Linked DNA regions of Saccharomyces cerevisiae S288C. Changing the gene in region 3 together with the main gene of any one other region gives a genetic interaction. Each region holds a gene or a part of one and is shown on either strand. Other genes may lie near its edges.

Region 1 (6,332 bases), 220 kb from region 3:
GTAACTGCAGCTTGTATCATAATTGGTGATGAAGTGCTGAATGGAAAAGTAGTTGATACAAATTCCACTTTTTTTGCGAAGTATTGCTTTGATCATGGAATTCAATTAAAAGAAATTGCAACTATAGGGGATGATGAAACCCAGATCGTAGATACTGTGAGAAGATTAGTCAAAAATTATGATTTTATCATCAGTACAGGTGGAATCGGCCCCACTCATGACGACATCACTTACGAATGTATGGCGAAAAGCTTTAATTTGCCTTGTGAACTAGATGAAGAATGCAAAGAACGAATGAGGCATAAATCTGACCCTGAAGCAAGGCTTGATGCAGATGCTCTAAAGGCGCATTACCAAATGGCAACCATGCCAAAAGGCACAAACGTCAAAAATTATTATGTGTGTGATGACTTGTGGGTACCTATTTGTTCTATATCTCACAAAATGTATATACTACCCGGTATCCCTCAACTATTTGCAAGGATGCTGAAAGCGTTCACTCCCACGTTGAAAAAAATATATAATTTGGACAAGGATCCACGTGAGTATGTTCGTTATTTTGTCAGAACACACCTAACTGAGTCTCAAATTTCTAAAGAGCTAAAGTTGATTCAGGATGAATCAACAAAAGTTTCAGAAGCCATTAAAATAGGCTCATACCCACATTTTGGTATGGGATTCAATACAGTTAGTATTTTGGGTGAAAAGAAAGACGATTCATATCTGAAGAGTATTGTCAATAGAGTTGTTAATAACCTCGAGGGAGAAGTAATTTCTTCTGAACTTGAAAACAAGTTCTCGAACCAGGAGAGCTGAATACCCGAGTATTTAGAACTATGTATAGATATAGATTTTTTTTTTGGGAGCAAAGTCATCTCAGTCATCGCCGGTAGTTGCGCTTTCTTCTCAACAAAAAAGTACACTGCTCGTGGTAGAAAGGTACCTTGAAAAATTAAAGATCACATTGCTACTGTTAGAGCTTCAATCGCTAAAGTAAACATTTGAAAAATGCATATCCGAAAGGACCAAACCAGCAAAAGGTATATAATTCATTCAATAGATACAACTGCTCCATGAAAGGAAAAACCTTCATTTACGGTCGCGTTTTTTTTCGTGATATAAAAAAGGTAAAAAAAACGCGTCGCGTTAGAAAAAAGGTGTGTGTGAAGAGAAAGACCCATTGAATGGAGAGTTCGGTTCTTGGGAATTGCACTGAGCCGTGGTGAGTTTGTTGCTTTACTACATCTCTTCTTTTATAAGCAACGCTTAAGCTGAACCTAGTCAACACACATAACTGAAGTCAATTTGACCAGGTGCAACTGAAACCTGGATTGGAATTGGTATTCACTTGAACAAAAGACTCTGGTAAAATGTCTGAACTCTCTCAAATGACATTGAAGATCCTTTACACATTGGATAATGGATCCAATGGTAGTTATTTAGCCCGCTCAAGGGCTCCAAAACAGGTAAGAGTTGCTAATATTCCTAGTCCATTCCCGACAGATTCGAATGAGCAAACGGAGTTGCGAATTGGCGCCATCCATTTGAAGACTATACTGCATGAAATATACTTAAATTCACCTGAAGTGTTAGACCATGACACTTTAAAAGATGGATATGATTATAACTTGTATTATCGTGACATATGTGAAGTGGATGAGCCATTAGTAAGCCTTGGTCTTCTTTCCGGGCTTCGAAAAAAGTTTCATAAGAATAGCCCCTACCAGTATACAGAAAACAATATTGGTGAAGAAGAAAGTGAAGAGAGAGATGAGGTAACTGAAGAAGAGTATGAAGATGAATCTTTTATAGTTACTGGAAGGGTATGCTCGAATGTTTCCGCTTTACTACGAAGATCATATAGCAACATCTCGAATAAAAAGGGAAGGGTCGTAAACAACCAAATTCCGGAAGAAACTTTGGAGGTTAAACTAAGATTCACAAAAGTTATAACCAATTTAAGGACGTCTGGTAACAATACTACAAATTCTCGGATATCGTGTCTTCAAATGCCGTCTTCTTTACCATCAGCAACACTTCCGTTTACCCCAAAATCGCAATCTCTTTTCAAGACAAACCAAATAAAAAATTCAAGGAATGCAAGGACCACGATAACAATAAATAATACTAATAGCGGGACTGTGGGAAGAAGACAGACGAATCCTATGCCTGCTCCAAAAGCTGTCAGAACTCAGTCTTTACCCATCTGGAATCTTAAACCAAATATAGCGAATACTGGTTTCCCAAGAAATTCAATTGCGCACAAAATCTACTTAGCAGATAGAAAAACAGAAGCCAATCAACAAAACAACCAGCATCAAAACATAGCTTACGAAATAAATACTTTGCAAAACGATAATACTATTCAGAGGACCAAGATCGATGATTCGGTAAGCAAGAGGTTCGATTTTATGCTCAACAAAAGAAAGTCTACGAAAAAAGTGTCACCTGGTATAGCAACGATAGCAAAAAAACCAGCTTCAATAAACATAAATCCAAAGCAACCGCCGAAGACTAGTGGTGAAAAAAAAGCAAATGATAAGCAAACGATTGTCAAAGTTAAGAATTCGAATTCCAAAAATTCGGCTAAGTCTACACAAGCAGGATGTAGGCGATCATCAGTGATAGAACATTTAAATGATCATGACGATTCAATTTTAAGTGACATTCTATCGGAACCAGGCATTGAAGGGCAGAAATTGCAGCAAAAACAAAAGGGGCGTAAGATATCTTTAACTAGTGAAAATGATAAAGAAAATATTCCACCCCAAAGCATAACTAGTAAAGAGAACAAGCTTGAAGGTGACTTGGATTTTAACGCTGAGTTCCCCATGAGTGACTTTTCGGATGTAGTATTTAAAGATGAGATGGGATGGTTTTCCAATTTCAATTGCAATTTTTTTGAATCACCAACTTCTGCAAGTGCATCACAACTCAATCAGCAAAATTTGAAGCCTTCTATAACACTCAACGATCCAAACACCTGTAACACCATTGCTCTCGAAAATGAAGATGTCAGTGAATTGGAAACAGCGCAAAATAATAAAATATCTTTGCCTAGCGATGTTGACAAAACCTCCCCAATAGACTCGTTGTCTATACCTTTAATTGAACTTACACATTCAAGCTCGACAACAAACATGCAGCGTATATCCATTAAAGAAGGATCGACACTAAATATAACAGATAGTAATAATGCCACCCCATGTGATAATGATATAAAAGATAGAAAGGCATCTGTAATAGATTCGGACAATACAAAACCTCAGGCAGGGCTTATAAATTTCTCTACTCCAGCTGACCAGCCAGCTTCTGATAATAATGTTACAGCTTCGAAAAAGCTTACTAGCATGCTGGAAACTCAGCAAAGTAAGAGATCTCATGAAGAAGTTTTGGATGAAGAGGAAGAGGAGGAAGCCCTCAAAAAGCAAAAGGCAATACCGTCTTCACCATGTGGGATGTTCAATTATCATCAACCCATGGAATTATCTGAGGACATAGTTGAAGAAGAGCAAGGACACAATATCGGCGATGATAATGAAAGCGATAAGACCAACGATTTATTCTCAACATTCATCCATTCAGGAATAAGAGTAAGTCAGGTAGTAACAAGTCCCATCGGTGAATTTCAGTCAATAAAACACTGAAAATATTACATGAACTTATTCCTAGCACAGCATGTATATATATATATATATATATATACTCAGATCATACATGTAGCACCTTATAGAGAACAAAAAGAAGTATTTAATTAGCATTTTCATGTCGTTAACATGTTATCGCGTTCTGCAGCCTTACGTATAAGGTCGCTGGCATTCAAAAACGAGCACATATACTCATTAAACTTCTCCCTATCATTAGCGGAAATTGTCTCCTTGAATATAGGATCCATTTCTACCTCCACTTCATGGGACGTGTATTGATGGGAGTTCCTTCGCGTGGTAGTAACCTTTGTCAAATCCAAGTGTAAAGGCATTTTATCATTAAAGGTGTAGGTGGAACGGCTTTTGGTTCTTTGTAAAATAAAGCCATTCCTGAAAGCGGCAGAAGTTTCGTATTCAGGCACTTCAAGGCTGATGCTAATTTTAGCGTCTAATGAACTTTGAGGATAGCGAATGAGAAAATCCTTGACCCGGACCTTTTTGATGTAAGTAAGTTTAAGTTCTTTGTTTCTAAGGTCTTCCGAACAACGCCATGAAGTTAATTTGCCAACTTTCGAGGCATTGTTGCAGTTATATATAGAATCTTTCGTATACTTTTGTACCTGTTTTACTACTCTTGGGGCACATTTACTTGGATTCTCCGATTTTGAGCGGAGTAGCTCCTGGAAACTCGAGAACATTTGCTCAGGAACGTTAGACACTAAGCGGCCATTTCTGTTTTGAACAATAAAGGGCTTGTTGTGTGGTGTCATCCTGCGATGTGTCCTTTTGTCTGTTATAACACCAAATTTCATTTCGATTTCAATGTGTGATATCGACGATTTATCAATACAAGCAAGATATTTCCATGCTAACTTACAAACATGTTTATGGAATTCTGTCGCACCTCTTGAATTGTTTCTTGTGGTTTTGTATAAAGCTCTAGTTGATGTTAATGGCTTAGTGGTTTCAGAGATATGCAAGCTTCTGAATTTCGAGGCAACATTAGCGTCAGCTTTCTTTGCGCCAACATTTTCATGAGAATTTCTACTATTGGAAGGAGTCTCGGGTTGGTCAGACATATCTTAAACTTCCTATAGTGTTTTCATTTTTCCTTTTCAGTGCTTTTTTTTTCTTTCCCATTTTGCTGGTAGTCAACAAAGTTGTCTTAAGGAAAAAAAAATAAAGAAAATATTGAAAACTAATAAGTTTTTTTCCTGTAAAAGTGTATAAAATATATAGGAGATCCCGTCAAATAATAGAAAAAAAATTTTTTGCCACATATACCTGTAGCCCCAGGAATACTGAAAAAATGGAGTAAAATGAAATGAACAATTCGTCGTGAAGAATACAAAGAAATATTAAAGAAATTTCGACGTAATACATAGTTCAACCGATTAATAAGAAATACCCAGAATAATAAGAGAAAGAAAATGAAAAAAGGAAAAGAAGCCCCATGTCTGTAGTGAACGTGTTCTCGTTAGTTATTCAGAAGAAGCTGGACTGAAACTCTTCGAAGTGTAGGGATTGAACTTAACTATCTTTTCCTCTTTAGGAGTGGAGGAATACGTTTGGGAGATTTGTAACTGGGTCAATAGTGCTTGTTCCATGTAATACTTGTCAATTTCCTGGTATACCACTTGTTCTTCTGGGGTGAGCAAACTTCTTGGACAATAAAAGATGTCGTCTTCGAAAGTTTTACTGATGTTGTTTTTGTACATTATGGTGTTCATGCCGTCTTGTTGGGTAGTGAATTCATCACTAGAACTCACCCTACTGTTGTTGGCAGTGTTATAGCTGAAAATGCCCGAGTTATTTTTACTATTGGGTACCGAGGGAGAAGAATAGAATGACTGAGGGCTGGTGAGGTTGAATTCATGTTGTTGGATGCTTTCCGTAAGGTAGAGGCTTGTGTTCATTTTTGCTTCCGCCTGCAAAAGTGGAGTCATTTTTTTTTTGTTCTGAAATCAGGAGAATTAGAGTAGGGGGAAGGTGAGTAAATATAAGGGGTCGAGGAACAAAATCCTTATAAACAATCCGTAGAGTAAAACGCTGCTTGTTATCTTACAGCAATGTAATAACAAGCAAGAAAGATAAAGCAATACGAACCAGTTGCTACTTGGTGGCACAGACGTGCGAATTAATTAAGGTTGTGTGGACAGGAAAATAGCGTTTCCCTCGAAGGGTATTGTTCTTGTTCTTTTTATATTTTCGGCATTTTTATGCTCGGCATTTCCCAACAGAAGCGGATATATTTTAAGGGCGCGGAGATGAGCCAAACGGCAAGCGATATCAAAATATCTGCATAATAACGGCAATCAACGCGCACGCGAATGGCCAAGAGGGTACAATAGCAGCAATGATGCGGCTTGTGAAATGGAGGAGTGGGTGCGGTAGAGCTTATTTTTTTGCGTTTGGTGAAGCGTCCTTGGCCTGGTCAAAACTTTGCACCTTAGACGGCGATGCTGGAGTGTCACTGCTATCTGGAGGGAGCTCTACAATGTTGTGGTTTTGTATGGGAGTGTGGTTCAGGAAGAGTGGTTGCATATAGCTGTATATTGGTAGTGGAGGAGGCTGATGCGGCAATGGTATGGGAGCAGATGGCATAGGATGAGGGAAGTATGGTGGTGCGTAAAGAGATATAGTGTCTTGTGGGCTAGCAGGAGTTGATATGGGCAGATTGTATGG
Region 2 (7,741 bases), on a different chromosome or scaffold from region 3:
TTTGAATACCACCACCAACGGCATACACGTCGACGAATGCTGTTCGAGCCTCCCTACGGATACAGGAGATATATGGTCTCTAGGCATCATCCTAATTAATTTAACTTGCATAAGAAACCCATGGTTAAAAGCTCACCAGAAGGAGGATAACACATTTCAACATTTTGCTAACGATAATAATGTCCTGAAGAAAATCCTTCCTATATCAGATGAGCTGTTCACAGTGTTGACGAAAATTCTACAACTAAATCCATACACAAGAATAGACATGAAAACTTTGATGTCCGAAGTTTCCTCTCTTACTTCTTTCACCAGGGAAGGGCCCTTGTCTCAAGTTCCAATCCTATCGAGCGAAGTTTACATGACGCATATTATAAGGAATGAAAACCTATTTTTGAGCGATTTATCACATTTTTCTGCAGACCAAGAACAACAACAACAACAGCAACAACAACAACAGCAAGTCCAAGAACAAGAACAGGAACAAAAACAAGAACAAATACAAAACCAGGAACAAGCACAACAGCAGCAAGAAGAGGAAGATGCTGAACCGGAGAGTGATATTCCATCAACGTATAATAGTGACGGAAGTATGGAAAAGTATGAATACACTAACAACCACAATAATAGTACCTTTTTAACTTCCTCAATGGACAGTACACCTTACCAATCTGATATCGATGACGTTAGTGCTTCCAAAGATTGCAAATTCCAACAAGATACATTAAGAAATAGGCTATTATGCTTACAAATGAATTTTTCTACTTTAACAGACGGTCCAAACGAGAAATGGTTACCAGATTATTGAGCAGGTCTCACCTTTATACTCACTGTATTATCTTATGTTCTAATTCGGTAATAGCTTCACCTTTTCTTTTTATCTTTGAGGTTTGTTTTTTTTCTAGTATCCTACTAGGATGGCTATAAGCAATGGCTGGAACGATTTTCATACTTTTTTTACGAACTTACGACTTTTCAGTGTCTTCTTTGATCAAAAGGAGATCACTATGGATATATATGTCCTACATAACTAATTACAATAATGATAGAATGACAGAACTTAGTCACTTTTTTTGTTTCTCAGCCCGGCGACGGCGCATTTGAATGGGTGGAAATCTTCGCTGATACCAGGTTGACAGTCTTATGATACGATTTTTTCGTCCTTTGCTTCCCCCGCAATAACCTTGCCTTTCCTCTATTTGCCGCGTTAGTAAAAGACCTTTCACAGCATCTGTAAAGTTCCTTTAATCGCATTGCAAAATACCAGGGCCTAAATGGAACTTCCTCAAACTGTCTTTCCAACCTTTCTAAGGGGTACATAAACTTTTGATATTGGATTTCCATCGATTCCCAAGGACTTCTCTTTATTGGACATTGCTTGCCTGTGACTTTTATAGGCGGCTTATAATATAGCACAAGGTCGGGCAAGTAACAAAATACAGCACTTCCTCCATTCTTATCAGGGTAGTAAGAGACTGAATCCCGAATCTCTTTTTCATTAATAACAATTTTGTTTTCTTCGATTTTCATGTTCTTGGTGGAAGAAAAAGTTTCCAACCAAGAATTGAGTTTATGTAATAATGATTCTGGGACAGGTGGCAATAAGGTAACACCCTCTCTTTTTTTCAATTCCATTTTATGATTTGCCGTTTCAGTTCTAGAAGTTTTCAAAGCAGAGTTTCGTTTGAATATTTTACCAATGGATTTTGAAAATCGTTTACCAGCACTAAATTCATGCTTGGATCCCGAATGTTGGAACAGGTGCTTAACACTCACAATTTCGGGATATTTATTAGGACCATCATTAGTACATGCCATTTCCTCTTTCCTCGCCACCAGATTTTAAGGCAGTTGATGTTTGCTTCCAAGGGAGAAAAGGAACTTATAACGGTTAAAATTAATAGAGCCTGAAGAGAATGAAGGCAGCCAAGACATTGATTAACATCCTACAATTGTAGAGCAGTCAAACGAGTTAATACCACAAATGTCAGTAATTAGTGGAACTTGTGCAAGTATCACCCGGCCAGCTTGCCAAGGCGGAAAAGTAAGTCAAAAGGCACACCTCAGCGTTTGAGTACCTGAAAAACGATGAATCGCAAATAAAACTTTAAATTATGCCTGTTATACATAAAGCCATTTATATATTTATGTATTTTATGAAAAAGATCATGAGAAAATCGCAGAACGTAATCATATCTTTTCAATGACAATAGAGGAAGCACCACCACCACCATTACAAATGGCGGCAACACCGATCTTACCTCCTTCTTGCTGTAAGATGGATAGCAGTGTAACAACCACTCTAGCACCAGAACAACCCAATGGGTGACCTAGAGCAACAGCACCACCATATACATTAACCTTAGATGGGTCTAGCTTCAAAATCTTAGTGTTCACCAAACCGACAACCGAAAAGGCTTCATTGAATTCAAAGTAATCAACAGAATTGATGTCTTCGATGCCAGCATGTTTCAAAGCCTTTGGAACTGCAAGAGATGGAGCCCATGTAAAATCAGCTGGTTGATGAGCGGCCTCACCCCAACCTTTGATAATAGCCAAAGGCTTCAAATTCTTTTCCTTCAAAACTTTTTCGGAAACCAAGATGACGGCTGCAGCACCATCGTTGATTGGAGAAGCGTTAGCGGCAGTAACAGTACCGTTTTCTTTTTGGAAAACAGTCCTTGCAGATCTCAATTTTTCAACGTGTAATCTAGCAGGTTCCTCGTCCTTCGTGACTTGAGTATCAGGCTTACCTCTAAATCCCTTAATGGTAACAGGTACAATTTCATTGTCGAATTTACCTTCCTTTTGAGATTTTTGAGATTTTTGGTAGGATTCGATGGCAAAATTGTCTTGTTGTTCTCTAGTAATATCCCAATCACGGGCACACTTTTCTGCGTGTACACCCATGGCTAGACCATCGTACGCATCGTTCAACCCATCTCTTTCGACACCATCAACAAGAACAGTTTGGCCAAATTTGGCACCCGCACGGGCTGCTGGCATGTAGTATGGTGCGTTAGTCATAGATTCACAACCACCAGCTACGACAACATCAGCATTACCACATTTGATGGATTGAGCACCCAAAATGATTGCCTTCATAGCGGATGCACAGACCTTGTTAACTGTGCTTGCAACGATATGATTACTCAAACCGGCAGCCAAAGCAACTTGTCTGGCCGGAGCTTGGCCCAAATTGGCAGAAAGAACGTTACCAAAAATAATTTCGTCAAAATCCTTGGATGCATCCAATTCTGGAACCTTAGCCAAGGCGCCTTTTAAAGCAACAGCACCCAATTCCACTGCTGTCTTGGAGGATAGAGAACCCTGGAATGAACCAATTGGGGTTCTGGCAGTCGATACAATGTAAACGTTCTGAGACATTTTGAGTACGTCTAATCTGTATAAATATATATGATATGGCGCTTGTTTTAGGCTACCTTTTTTCAGAGAACTAGAAAACGAGTAGGCTTAGCAGTGCTCTTAATGGAAGCGCTTGTTCCTCTTTTATATATTTTACTGCCCTTTGCTCAACGGTGGCCTATCAACCTGGCCACGAACGTGTGGTGGGCTAGTAGTACCGTACTCTCCAGCGAAAAAACCGGCTTGGGCGGTAAACGACAGGCACCTCGTTATAAGTGACGTGCCTGTTAGGAAACGATAAACCCGGCAGGGCACAACAATGGCATCATACCAGAAATGTATCATGTTAAGGCTTTCAAGCAGTGTAGCTGTTTCTATTTACAGGATATATCGTAGATTATGTACGCAATCTTCTTCTCGAAGATGAGAGGTGACCTCTTGTAGAACCAAAGGGCTTATGTGCGTAAGGATTCTTCTTTAATCGATCAAGTTTCTCGAAAATAATCATCTCACAGAAATACTTCAAATCTTTAGCAGATTCCATGTCAATGAAGTAGTTTGGGTACCTGTTGCTGAGCCAGAAGTATAGAGTAATGATGTTGTACAATGACTCATAAACCTCTAATGAATAACTCTCATTCGGTATGCAATTGTAGTCCAGTAGGTTAAAAGGTAATCGGTATGACAGTAGGCCTCTTGTATGCCTTTTTGCTATTGTTTCGCAAAATTTGGTGAACGCCTTTGTGACCATAGGCATGTCCTTCACGGGCGCATTGCTTAGTTTCAGCTTGTCGAAAAATGGGATATCTTCCATGTGCTCGAATAAGCCAATAACTTTCAGTTTGCTCTTTAAATCAGATAACGTGAACAGGTTGTCAGAACTTTTCTCTAGCTCATCTGAAATAGTCTGCAGCAGGACACTGGTCGGCGTTCCTGGTGGGAATTGTGTCATTAGTTGAGCACATATTTCATCTGTAGGCCATGTAACCGCAGTTTTTAAATACTCCACAGGTGCTTCAATAGCTTTTCTTACACTTTTCAAAACTTTTGATTCGAAACTGGTGATAAAACCCTGAGGAACACCCCCGGAGGCAGATCTAGATTTGAACCTTCCCGCACGACCACCTATTTGTTTGATTTGAGAAGAAGTCATTTCCATTAGTTCTTCACCATTATATTTCATATTTGTCGTGAATACAACTCTGTCAATAGACAGGTTTAAACCCATACCAATAGCGTCTGATGCTACCATTATGTCATACTCTCCATTGTTGAATAGGGCGGCTTGTTGAACACGTGTTTCAGGCGGCAAAGAGCCATAAATTACAGCAACTTTCAAATTGGTGTCTTTCTCTATCTTTAGCTTGAGATCCAATATTTTCTTCTTTGAAAACGCAACGACGCAATCTCCTTTGCGCAAACCTTTGATGCCATCTTTGATAGGTTTTTCTTCAACACTTAACTTTCCTAACCTCTCATATTCATTAATCGTTAATTTATCGCCAGTCATTTTAACAATGCTCTTAACCAAAGGTAGAACACTCTTTTCACCACAAAGATGGACCTCCTTGGAAACGACACCTAAAAGCGCGTTCGTCCAAGCCCAGCCACGATCCCCATCAGACATCATTTGAATTTCATCAAGAACAACAACGTCAAATTTTTGATTTATTGGCACCATTTCTACTGTGCCTGATGTCAGCCCTGCTGAATTTCCTCTATCATCCAAATCACGAATAACTTCCTCTCCAGTCAGTAAATTGCATCTTATCTTTTCTGCATGAAATCTATCGTACACTTCCCTTGCTAGCAGTCTTAACGGCCCTGCGTAGTACCCACGGTCCACGGATTTCAATTTCTGTAACGCTCTATAAGTTTTGCCTGAATTCGTGGGCCCAATGTGCATGATTATATGTCTTCTAATCTTTCTTGCCTCCGGAAACCACTCTGCTGGATTTGTTATGTCAACGTTGTGAGCGCCATCTGTATCATCTGTATTCGTCATCATGGGTAGTATCTCCTGCTCGTACACATGGTCGAAGGTCTGTTGCAGGACGTGGATAAATTTATCCAATGTAGTTATATTGTTACTCAGGCTATATTTGAGAACAGATTTCCAGACTAAATTGCTGATTTTATTGCAATTTATCAGCAACGAAATCAAATTGCCAGGAGATGAAGGATGTATGATCTCACTTACCGAAGGTACATAGGTTTTGGCTTGCAGTTTCGGATCTTTTAGTTGTTGATATATGTAATCTCTTAATTTCAACCAAGCAAGATTCTTTATTGGTACTTGCTTGGCATCCAAGGATGACAATTTATCGTTATAGATAAATTGCATCGCTTTATCAAGGTTATCTTTAAATGATGAATCCTGTAAATACACATTATTGCTTTCGGACTTGTTAAAATTAAACTGGAATATATCTAATTTTGAATGTTCATTTTTGGGTAAATTTAGGAATTTAGGTCTTTTCACAATCCAATCCTTATCATGAAATAGATCGATGCTATGCGGCTCGCTGTGGTAATATGCTTTCTTGATGGACACAAACAGTCGCAATGATCGGAGTGGAAAAAAAACTGTGCTGTATTTGACAAGTGCCATGCTAGTATACTCTATCGGCACTTAAATCTTCTTTCTTTTCATAGTTGAACCTCTTTCTTTGAAAGTATCAAGTTTCTGCATTTTGGCTTCTCATTGTCTATGCATCGGGCGAAGAAATTATTAACGCTGTTTACGATGGACCATCAATTTTTAAGTAAAAATGAAAAAATTAGATAAATTGTATAGTCTTATATGTACGTATGATATTCTAATTAGTCTATAAATGAACGCACATACAAATAATAGATGATACATCTATTTAATGGTTTCTTGGGTTTCTTTTCAATAAGGACATTGTGTTCTGAATCCACCCTTCAGCTCCACCGTCTTCCCAAATCATATCGTACACTGCTTGCGTTGGAAAATGCTTTAAGGTTGCATTTTCTACACCTATGATGGCTGCATTTCTTGTGCTTGGTATCCTTAACATCTCTTTCTCTACTTTCCAGCCTACACGAGATGAAATATATTCAACGTGATCAACCAAACCAGAGTAGGTGCTCTTACTGTTATTCTGGTTTTTGATTTCATTTGACCTAGGCGAACGTTTCCTTACGTTAAAACGAACTCTCTGGCCAGAAAAATTATGAGAGCAACAAGGTATAACCATATAAGGATGACCTAGTAATGGGATCCAGCAAGTCAACTCATCTGAGTGGTTACCTATAATAAAAGTATCTGGTGGGAACTCTGCTGTATTGACCTGCGGAGATTTTAGTAAGTCCTCACTTGAATACACGACGGTTGCGGGGGCAATCACTTCGTGCGTCACCTTGACTGGGAAAAATCTCCCATTGTGTTCCAAATGAGGTACTTGTCTTTTCAAAGCAGGATGGGGTCTTAAAAGGATAGAAGGTATTATAACTTGCTCCTTTAACGATGATTGCACTTCAGGCGGGTAGATAGACCACGATTTGCGCTTCCTTGCATCTATGCCGAGACCTTTAATACTTTCACTCAGTAAAATATAACAAAGAGCACCATTGCCGCATCCCAAATCTCTAAATTGCATTTTTGAACGGAAGTCTGGACCGTACACTTTAATCCATAATTCAATCAGGAAAGCGGCAATGGCTATGTCTTCAAAAACATGTTTTTTTGGGTCTGTAGACTCTGCCCAATTCTCCACCAGGAACTTGGAGTATTTTTTCTTCAAAACAATGTATGTGTTCTGAAAATTGACTTTATTTACCACTTGATCGTGATTGACCCTCTTTTCATAACCCTGCATCACACCCTTTGAGTGTTTGTTAGCAGTTTGTAATAACCTATAAGCGGTTCTTACAACACGCTCAGATTCATCTGTAAAGGCAGTTTTATCCTCGGGGAAGGGAATGTAGTGTACAGAAAGAACTGACTGGTGTAACAAAATGCCTACACTTTGCGTTCTTGGAATATAAAACGGACAGTCTTTCTCAGAGTTAATGTGCGGCGTATATACAATCAATGAGGTCTCCTGAAAATTAGGGTCTTTGCTATTTAGGATTAAACATGTTTGGTTTATGATAGCATCTTTGTAAAAATTCCTAGGAATGATCCTTCTTACAAATTCATGAACGGGTGACAATTTTAAACTCTCAGATGTTTCACACGACCTTATGTTTAAATCTTCAATATTTATCTTCTTGACATCTTCTTCACCGCTTTCATTACCATTATCGATCTCAAACTTTTTTAATACGGACTCGTCAAATTTTGGCTCAGACCCAGCTTCTGCAGCATGATTGATCTCTTTCAAAATATCCGCTCTTAATATGACAGTAG
Region 3 (9,796 bases):
CTCCCTTACTCGTAAATAACTTGAGTAATCCTCATTAATTATCTGCTGCCTAATATCTTCGTCTCTCAAACCTAATCGAGGGTCTGGAGTTTCAAAGATCTCTTTCTTTGACGCTGACTGGCGTGCAAAACCAGGGTCGTACCTGAAAGTGGCCAGAACCTCGAAGTTCGGATTAGCAACTAGGCCTCCTTCATCGTAACTTTCCATATCAGTCTTCCAATTGTCCATTAGTGACATCTATTTCTTATTATCCATGTCTCGCTCTTCATCTTTCTTTTACTCACTTTCACAAAATTTTTTCCTGCCCTTTTTTTTCCAATAGCAGGTTCTGTTTATATTTCATCATAATCTATGAAGGCATCGTGACGTGATGATATAGGTGTGTCAAGTAAAATATTCTTACAAGTTGTGGTTATTTATATGCTCTATATATATTCACAGAACTAAATCCAGTTCTTCTATATATTCTTCATTGTTGTCTGGTGTAACGGGGTAAAAAGGTACCATGGCGTCCTGGTACATTACGTACATGTTATTATACACCCTCCAAAATGCTTTCCTTACATTCTTCGCTGGATGGAACAATCCTGCCCATATGTAGTTCATGAATAGTCCAGGGCCAAGAGCTTGACTCAGTGCCTCCAAACCTTCTAAAATACGCATAATAGCATGTGGTGAAGTTTCAAAAATATTGGGTATTAGAAGATTCATTAAATGAATGAAGGCATCTTCGTGACCTGTACCTGAACAGTTTAAAGCTAAGTGGGTTATTACGTTCGACGCTGTCTGACGATGAACTAAATCCCTATCGGTGAGTGCATCTTCTAATAATGGTGTTATGAAGTATATGTAATCCTTAGACATGTTACCAATGTACTCAAACATGAATGACATGGCCTTGAGAACACCGTTTTGAACATTAGTCTCTGGTGTTGTGTATTCATTCATGATTACTGGCAGCACGTTGTAAGGACCACACACTTTAGCAACGATACCGATAGCAACAGCCGTGCATACACGTAACTGACGTTCTTGAACCTTTAAATTGTTCAATAACGCAACAAGAACATCGTGAGGTCCAATTGCTTCAGCAATGAATCCAAACGTGGCATTTGCTGATCTTCTTATTTCTTTATTTGTACTTTTCAAAAGTTCTAATAGTTCAAAACATATTCTCATCCATTCTTTAGGAGGTGCATAGGTAGGTGCTAATTTACCAATAAGTCCAACAAATTTGATAGTGTTTACTTCGACTTTTCTATGCTTGTTTCTTAAAATTGGAGTTAAGGTTGGTAAAATTTGATTAATAGGAGGTTGTAGTTTATCCAAATCCATTACGCTAGTAATACAGTACATAGCGTTGATTATAGAACCTAATACCTCTGGATATACTTCGCCTAAGGATTCATACAATATAATGTTCAATTTATTCAACATTTCGAATTCGTGACAGTTCTTGATGACTGGTATTAGTATGGCACATAGATCTGCTGCATGTTGACGAACCAAGGGAGTTTTATGCTTTAAATGATTTAAAATCGTACTCACAATGGGTGCTAAAAACGGTTTCATACGGATGTCAAGTGACACCGTCACTGCCCCAAACCCTTTAAAGATTATAGAATCACTATTTGTTTGTTCTTGAAATGCTATCAAGAGCGCATCAATAAGCCTCGTTTCTAATCTCTCATCTAAATCTGCTGTCCCTAATAAGTTTACTGTTCTAGTAACAGCATGGACAGCCATTGTTCTGAACGGCTCAGCTTCATCTCTCAATGGTGTTAATAATTTATCAATGGTATAAGAACAACCTAATTTCTTTGCTAATGTAACAGTAGTATATGTAACAACTTTGTTTAATGGTCTATCCAATGCCACTCGTCTGACCCAAAATTTTTGAAAGAATTCTGGCGCGATTTCTTCTCTCAGAAATTTTGGCGTTATGGATTCTACAGCGCTACATTTTTGTAATACTAAAAGAATGGTCTTTTTCATTTCATCATCGGGAGAGTCGAATTCACGTCTAATTATTCTCATTGCTTCTGTGGTATAATAACCGGCATACTCTGGGTCCATCAATGGGATCATAGATCCAACAGCTTTTAAAAAAGAAGATAGCACTTTACCACGATGACTTCTTATACCCTTCCATAATGGCTCCAGTACAACGTTGAAAACTTCGATACCATATGGATAAGAATTTTCTGCTAGTGTTGATAAAGTATGTGCTGTAACAATTCGCACCGGAACGTGATCATCCATTAGGCAGTCTTTGATACAACTCATCAGCCCAGTAAGATGATTCAAGACACCTATTCCCAAAAGTATACCTATTTGCTGCACAATTTTTATGCCAGTATGCCTTGCTTTCCAAGACTTCCGTGAGTGGCATGCTGCATTGATGAAAGGAAGCAATTGATTAACACCAAGGGCTTTTGCCACCACAGCCGCCGCTCTTGAAGTTACATTTCTAACATACTCATCCTCATTCTCAATATCAGGTCTCATTACTGTTAGAATGGTTTTTAGGCCAGCGACTGTAGACAGATTGGTGATTATCTCCTGGCCTGTTGAACGAACCATTGGATCTTCATCTATTAGCAATGGGGCAGCTACTACAAGTATTTTGTGAACGTAAGGTTTTGTTAAATCTCCTAGCTGGTAAAGGACGCGATCTATGGTCTTGATCATTAGATGTCTTTCCTGGTCTTCCAAACTTCTGTCTAGTAATATGGGCAATAAGCGGTTAAATATCATTTCTGGACCAAATGTAACAGCTTTATCGGTTAAAATCCGCATAGAAGTCCTCCTACTCGCTGTATTGCCATTTTTTATTTTCAGAAGTAACATCGACAGGGTTCTTTCTTTCTTTTCATCCTTATTTAACTCATCTATGGGTTTTTTGGATATAACGTCGGCGAAATATTTATGGTCAGAAGGTTTAAAAAACATCAAATCATGGATTCCTTCTACATTAACCAAAGCACTATCAGAGTTTTCTTTGACCGCTGTTGAAGATTCATCAGGTGGCTCGTACCCTTTTACATCCCAACGAGATTTTCTTTTCCTTGGCACGACAGCGTCTTGGGTATTTTCTGAAGACGTAACAGTTTGTGTATCGGAATCCGGCTCAAACTTCATATCAAACCTTCTTTTGTGGTATGAATCCTCTCGATTTTGCACTGTCCTAGTTTCCATTTTTTCCTGTAGCACATCTTTTTCGTTCTCACCAATACGTGCAGCTTCTTTCTGCAGGTTTTCCCTCAAATCCTGAGGAATAGAATATTGACCGCCTAATTGGTGGCTCTTATCGCTATTATTAGCGTTTACAAATTGAATCGGATGACTCATGATGACAGGTCCTGGCTTTCTATGTTTATTATGTATAAGTAATTGAAGAGATGTTTCAGTTCTAACTCATCGAGAAGGAGATTTCTGCTCGGGCAAATATCAATGCAAACCCGAATAAGCTTAAATACTAACAACGTGCCAAATAACAGCAATCACGTCTAAAAAGCTTTCAAGAGACGATAATTGGTTGTGCATATCTGTCAGCGGAATAAATAAAGACAGGTGATGGTAGTTAGGCGGAAAGTACATGTTCTTCTAATTGCAAGGAGCTTTCATTCCTACACACCTTGCTTCAGAGTAACTACCAGAGGCAAACGACAGCGAAGTAAGAGTAAGCAGCAAGCAAAAGTAGAACTAGATCACACACGAGAGCTAGATAATGATCAAGCTACAGAGACAGTTGTAGACCGTTCGGTTGGACCGGAGAAAGATATAGAATCAATAAACAAAGACTTTCTGCAACGAACAAAAGGATTAGAGCCTGATATTGAATTAAAACAACTGCCTCAAATTAAACAGGAATTTAACCAACGTTATAAAGATAGGTATGTTAAACCTTCCGAAGATTGGTACGTAAACTCCTGGAGGTCTTTAACAAAACCAAAAATTCCGCTTTACAAGTTAATAAATTCAGATTTTCAATTAATAACAAAACTGAAAGCTCCAAACCCAATGGAATTTCAACCTGTTCAGCTAATGGAAAGTCCCTTAAATGTTGGTGACTTTGTTCTTTTAAAAATGAGACCCAATGAATTGGCGATGTGTGTAAGTCTTCCAAGTAGCACTATGGATCCTCGATACACTTTTGTTACTATTGATGGAACTATGTGCTTTGCGACCAAAAACCGGGTGTTATTGAGGATTCCTCACAAATTACCTGCTGGAATCCATTCACTTATACAGCCTGAGAGCCATCACAAACATTTGCCAATTGGAACCGTTAAGAACTTTTCTAACCAAACGAATATTTTGCCTATTGTAGCAAGGCAGCTAATAACAAGTAGGTATCCAGCCCAAATTTCAAAGTTGGCCTGGAAAGATTTGCCCATTACTACCAAAAAATTACAGTTACTCCACAGATCATTACAAAATTATATGGGTCCATGGCAGATTCCTTTTTTTACCCTAGTCGGATTAGTTCAGAAATTGGATTTAAATAAAGCCTTGGACGATAAAAATGGAATAAATTACTTAACTAGTTTAGTTAATAACTATCACACTGTAAACGATATACCAATAAATTCACCTACCTTTGTTTCCACGTACTGGGCGATTATGCAACAACAGGAATCGAACCTTTGGGGGGAAATCCATCTGAATACAGCGTTGCTGTCGCCTATATCAGTAACGATTATTCCCTTAAAATCACAACATTTATATTATGCGCAGGTGATAGAGAAGCTAGAAGCCAACAGTTATAGAGAGGTCAATAAGTTTGTAAAATTGGTGAATGAAAGGAAATATCGCGATATATCAGCTTTATATCCTTCTGTGATCCAATTATTGAAAGATTTTGCTGCTGGGAATTTTCACAATAACGGAATTATAGTAGCTTTGATCTCAAAAATATTCAGAAAGATAGAACGCTATAAGGATTGTGACATCACAAGAGATATATGTCAAGATTTAATCAATGAGATAACACCCAACTCAATACCCAATCCATTGTTACTTAACATGGATTTAGCATTACCTGCTTCCTCGAAGTTAGTGAAATGGCAACAAAAACTCTACGACTTAACTAATATAGAAGAATTGCAATGGAAAAAATCCGGCACTGATGACGATAGGTACGATTTTGGCGATCTTAGGGTTTTTTGTATAGACTCTGAAACTGCGCATGAGATTGATGACGGCGTGTCGGTGAAAAACTATGGTAGAGATGGACTGTACACTTTATATATTCATATTGCGGATCCAACTTCTATGTTTCCGGAAAGCACTAATGTTGATATTGAGGGTATAAGTACAGATATCCTAAATGTTGCCTTGAAAAGATCATTTACCACATATTTACCAGATACGGTTGTTCCTATGTTACCTCAATCTATTTGTCACTTATCAGATTTGGGGAAACAAGGACAAAGGACGAAAACTATATCCTTCTCTGTTGATGTTAAAATCACTTCTAAATGCAGTGGAAAATCAATTGAAATTATGTATGACAGTTTTAAAATCCGGAAAGGCATTGTGTCCAACTTCCCAAAGGCCACTTATGAAGATGTTGACAGGATACTCGGTACACCCAATAGCGAAGCATCACCTGTCAAAAAGGATTTGGAAAGTTTGTCCATGATTTCCAAATTATTGAGAGAACAACGTATAAAAAACAGTAATGCTGTTATTTTCGGGGAGGGCTTTAATAAGGGCCTAGTGATGCTAAACGCCGATTCAGAAGGAGAACTGACTGAGGTAACATTTTCGGATCAAGAGGAGACGCTGTCTACCATTTTGGTTTCAGAAATGATGATCTTGGCGAATACTTTAACGGGTAGATATTTTGCGGAGAACAAAATCGGTGGTGTGTTCAGATGTTATAAACAGTTACCACTGGGCGAAGTAGCACAACAACAGTATGATTCTATGATAACAAGTACAAAAAAAGGAATTTTTCCCAAGCTAAAAGATATCGTTAAGCTTTCTTCATTGTTGAACTCGAGTTTTTATACAGGTCGACCTTTTAGACATGAAATGATTGGAGCTAAACAATATTTGACAGTAACATCCCCTCTTCGTCGTTTTCCAGACTTGATAAATCATCTACAAATTCACCGTCATTTGCAGAAAAAGCCTCTATGTTTTAATCAAACACAAATCGACAGTTTGATCTGGCCAATTCAATCTCGAGCGGATATTTTAAAAAGGGCTAGCCGTAATTCGTCGACGTACTGGACACTGAATTATTTAAAAAAGCTAACCAAACTAGAGCCAGAAAGGACTTTCGATGTAATGGTAACATCAGTACCGCAGAACGGATTTACTGGATGTGTTTTTCCAGACTTATCGTTCGCTAGAGGAACATTAAAATTGCATCCAAGTTCTATGCATTATCCGATGATTGGAGATATCGTGAAGAATTGTAAAATTTCAAAAATTGACTGTTTAGAAGGAATGTTAGAGTTGGAAAAGCTATAAAAAGGGACTCTTTTTCCAAATATAAAATTCAATAGACCATGCATAATTTTCTTCTTGTAAATATATACATACATAAAATATGAAATCGAGATAGTGTATTGATTTCTTTGTATCAAAAATTGCATAAATTACTATTAACATATGTGCCTATGCAGGAAAAAATAATACTATATACATATATAAGTCAGGAATATCAAGAAGAAAGGAAATCCAGTTGCCTTATTTTCGCTGTTTCAGTCGATGGTTCTCTTCTCCACTATAAACCCAGGGTTTGACTTTCTCAACTCTCGTTGCTGCGATGGTGTTAATTCATGTTCTGTTACTTCTACTTTGACTAACTCTTTTACTTTAGCTAGGGAGCCAGCTATGGCCGGGTTTACTTTTTTGTAGACTATGGACCCTCTTTTACCTAAACCCAAACTTTTGACAATGCTCTTCGTTGTGTGTGGCACACCGATAAGCGACCTACTCAACGTGACTTTGTAAAACACCATTCCTGATATCTGCTTTCAACGTGTTTTAGCTGGTCCATCAATATTGATTCCATCACCTAACTTTTGGGATGATATACTTTATCCTTAATATCTAGAAAAGCTCTTCGAGAGATATTTCGTGCAGAAAGACCATTCATTTTTCAAAAAATGGTTGCACTAAAGCAAGAGGAAAGGAAAAGTAGTGTTGCAAGAAGATGAGATTGTAGTCTCCTTATAGCTTCTTAATTGTAGTTAAGAGTATTAAGTAAATATGACACAAGACAAAGAAGTCAAAGTGGTTGCCCCAGATGTTGCGCCCGACCAAGAAGTAGAAATTAATAAATCTGTAAAAGATGCAAAACATCAAACCAATGATGATTCGTTACTTCAACATAAAAAGAAGGGCAAGAAAGGTAAAAAATCGAAGCCCATAGTGACCCCAGAACATATCGCTAAGGTTCGTGCCGAAAGGGAAGTTATGAGAAAGGCTAAAAGAGATGCAATGTTGGCTCAAGGTGTTGATCCGGACTGCCCGCCAGAGCTGCATTTTATCAGAAGACCTTTCCTATCTCTACATGAGGCAGAGCCAGTAACTGGATTTAGATTCAAGCTAATGACTTATAATTGCTTGGCGCAAGCTCTAATCCGCAGAAAGCTGTTCCCGGATAGTGGTGACGCTTTAAAATGGTACAGGCGTTCTAAAGTTCTCTTAAACGAGTTTAAATATTATAATTCCGATGTCATTTGTTTGCAAGAGATTGATCATATTCAGTTTCAAAGCTTTTGGAAAGATGAATTCAGTAAATTGGGATACGATGGACAATATTATAGAAATGCTACAAAAAACCATGGTGTCGCGATAATGTGGAGGAGAGAATTATTTCACCAGGTTGACAAAATGCTAATCGACTATGATAAAGAAAGTTCAGAAAGCATTTCCACTAGAACAACGACAAACAACGTGGGATTAGTCTTAGCCTTGAAGTTTTCTGAGAAAGTACTGTCGAATTTGGGTAAAAAATCGTCTAAAAAATGCGGTATCTTGATCGGCACTACGCATCTATTTTGGCATCCATTTGGTACTTATGAACGAACAAGACAATGCTATATTGTTTTAAAAAAGATGAAGGAATTCATGCATCGTGTGAATGTTTTACAGAACGAAAATGATGGGGATTTATCTCATTGGTTTCCTTTTTTCTGTGGTGATTTTAATTCCCAGCCGTTCGACACACCATATTTATCTATGACATCCAAACCAGTGCACTATAGAAACAGGGCAAAGACCGTCATTGGGTGCAGCACTTCATATAAGTTTTCCAAGGTCCGTGATGGCGAAGAAGGTGCAGATGACGAAGAAGGCGGGAATATTGAAAAATATGGTAAAGATCAACCTGAGAGCCCCGTTCCTGAAAAATTTCATGCTAATGAAGAACAGTCTGAACTCGTAGATAAAATGGCACAACTCCATAACTCATTGGATATGAGGGCTATTTCACTATACTCTGTTGGGTATAAGAATGTTCATCCAGAAAATGCAGGTCTTGATAATGATAGAGGTGAGCCTGAAATTTCAAATTGGGCAAACACTTGGCGTGGTTTATTAGACTATCTATTTTATGTAAAGAAATGGGACCCACAAAGTAATTGTCAGGAAGTGGAAACCCTTGGCGATTTTGAAAAAGAAAATAAAGTTAAATGCAGAGGTTTTTTGAGAATGCCGCCCGGTAATGAAATGACAAAGCATGGACAACCACATGTTGGAGAATATGCAAGTGATCATTTGTCTATGGTGTGTGATTTAGAGTTACAACTATAGATTACTGTCGTGCATAAATATCTTGCTAATAGTTGTACAGTACAACGTTTAGCACGACAAAAGTTCTTAATAATAAATATTACATCAAATACCCTACCCTACCAAATATTGTATGTAACGTTATAGATATGAAGGATTTCAATCGTCTTTATATATTGAATTTCGGCTTTTTATCAAAGGGCTTCTTTTCTTCTTTTATCGAAATGTTATCATCGTTAAATTTTTTGTAGAACATATTCCAGATTTTAACATATTTATTTAGCCTTTGGATGATTGGATCTTCTGACTTCTCAGATTCTAAAATTTTATTTCGTATATAATATAGTTTCCTTAAAGAATCGTCCTCACGCATCATTCTGTCTTTTTTAGTATTAGGTGTCTCATTTTCGTCAAAAGTGGTTTCAATTTGCAACAGGTAATCATGTAAAACTTTGTAATGTTTTTGTAATAGTGGGTTTTTGAAATCGGATGGGTTATATCCATCCCTCAAGTTAAAGTATCCCATTATACTTTGAGTTACTTTTTTCATGTTATCATAATCTAGTTTATGTTCAGAGCCATCATCATAGGATAGTAAACTAGGAAATTTTCGAATTTCGTCTAGGAATGGAACCCTGTAGAGATAAAATCCTTCGTTGTAGTCCTTCACGCTTGAGGGTGATAACGTATATAGTGAAGGATGTGAATTTGATTTAAGCTTCCCCCATAATATTGCAATTTTATCTTTTTTTCTCAAAATTTTTAATAAAGAAGCCAAGGTTCTTATCGAACCTTCATATTTTGCTTCATCTGGTACGATAAACGAACTTTTGTCTATGTTATTGAAATAGTGTATCGATTTGCTCGATGAACGGAACCCAATAATCTTCAAAAACGCATCTTTTTGAGTATAAGCCTCCATTACTATCTGATCTTGACTATCTGATAGATTGATATCGAGGTCACCATAAGGATAAACCTTGACAGTTTTACCAGTAACGTCTTCTCCTGTTATAGGATTTAAAAATTTTCTTTTTGA

What was found. Genes that interact genetically often act in the same process or in processes that back each other up.
Region 1: mutations in DSS1 (region 3) and CTL1 together harm fitness more than expected from each alone (negative genetic interaction), as found in Saccharomyces cerevisiae (2 studies listed by BioGRID).
Region 2: of DSS1 (region 3) and SUV3, extra expression of one rescues a mutant of the other (dosage rescue), as found in Saccharomyces cerevisiae (3 studies listed by BioGRID, with this or other methods).

The regions. Positions count from the first base shown.
Region 1 is NC_001145.3:618,488-624,819, forward strand, and holds CTL1 (polynucleotide 5'-phosphatase), read right to left. Parts: upstream 4,727-6,332; coding exon 3,764-4,726; downstream 1-3,763. Other genes in the region: FPY1 (flavin adenine dinucleotide pyrophosphatase), read left to right, coding at 1-816; SPT21 (Spt21p), read left to right, coding at 1,371-3,647; YMR181C (uncharacterized protein), read right to left, coding at 5,129-5,593; RGM1 (Rgm1p), read right to left, coding at 6,045-6,332. UniProt on the Saccharomyces cerevisiae protein: Probably involved in an RNA processing event other than mRNA capping. Releases gamma-phosphate from the 5'-end of RNA to produce a diphosphate terminus.
Region 2 is NC_001148.4:493,742-501,482, reverse strand, and holds SUV3 (ATP-dependent RNA helicase SUV3), read right to left. Parts: upstream 5,978-7,741; coding exon 3,764-5,977; downstream 1-3,763. Other genes in the region: putative serine/threonine protein kinase SKS1, read left to right, coding at 1-808; SMA1 (Sma1p), read right to left, coding at 1,081-1,818; ERG10 (acetyl-CoA C-acetyltransferase), read right to left, coding at 2,191-3,387; TRM44 (tRNA (uracil) methyltransferase), read right to left, coding at 6,237-7,741. UniProt on the Saccharomyces cerevisiae protein: Required for intron-independent turnover and processing of mitochondrial RNA. It is a key control element in nuclear-mitochondrial interactions.
Region 3 is NC_001145.3:839,126-848,921, reverse strand, and holds DSS1 (exoribonuclease II), read left to right. Parts: upstream 1-3,576; coding exon 3,577-6,486; downstream 6,487-9,796. Other genes in the region: aminodeoxychorismate lyase ABZ2, read right to left, coding at 1-237; U2 snRNP complex subunit HSH155, read right to left, coding at 436-3,351; mitochondrial 54S ribosomal protein uL30m MRPL33, read right to left, coding at 6,720-6,980; NGL2 (RNA exonuclease), read left to right, coding at 7,231-8,778; ATP-dependent DNA helicase YKU70, read right to left, coding at 8,927-9,796. UniProt on the Saccharomyces cerevisiae protein: Essential for mitochondrial biogenesis. Required for intron-independent turnover and processing of mitochondrial RNA. Participates in 3' mtRNA processing where it hydrolyzes single-stranded RNA or partially double-stranded RNA with 3' single-stranded tails.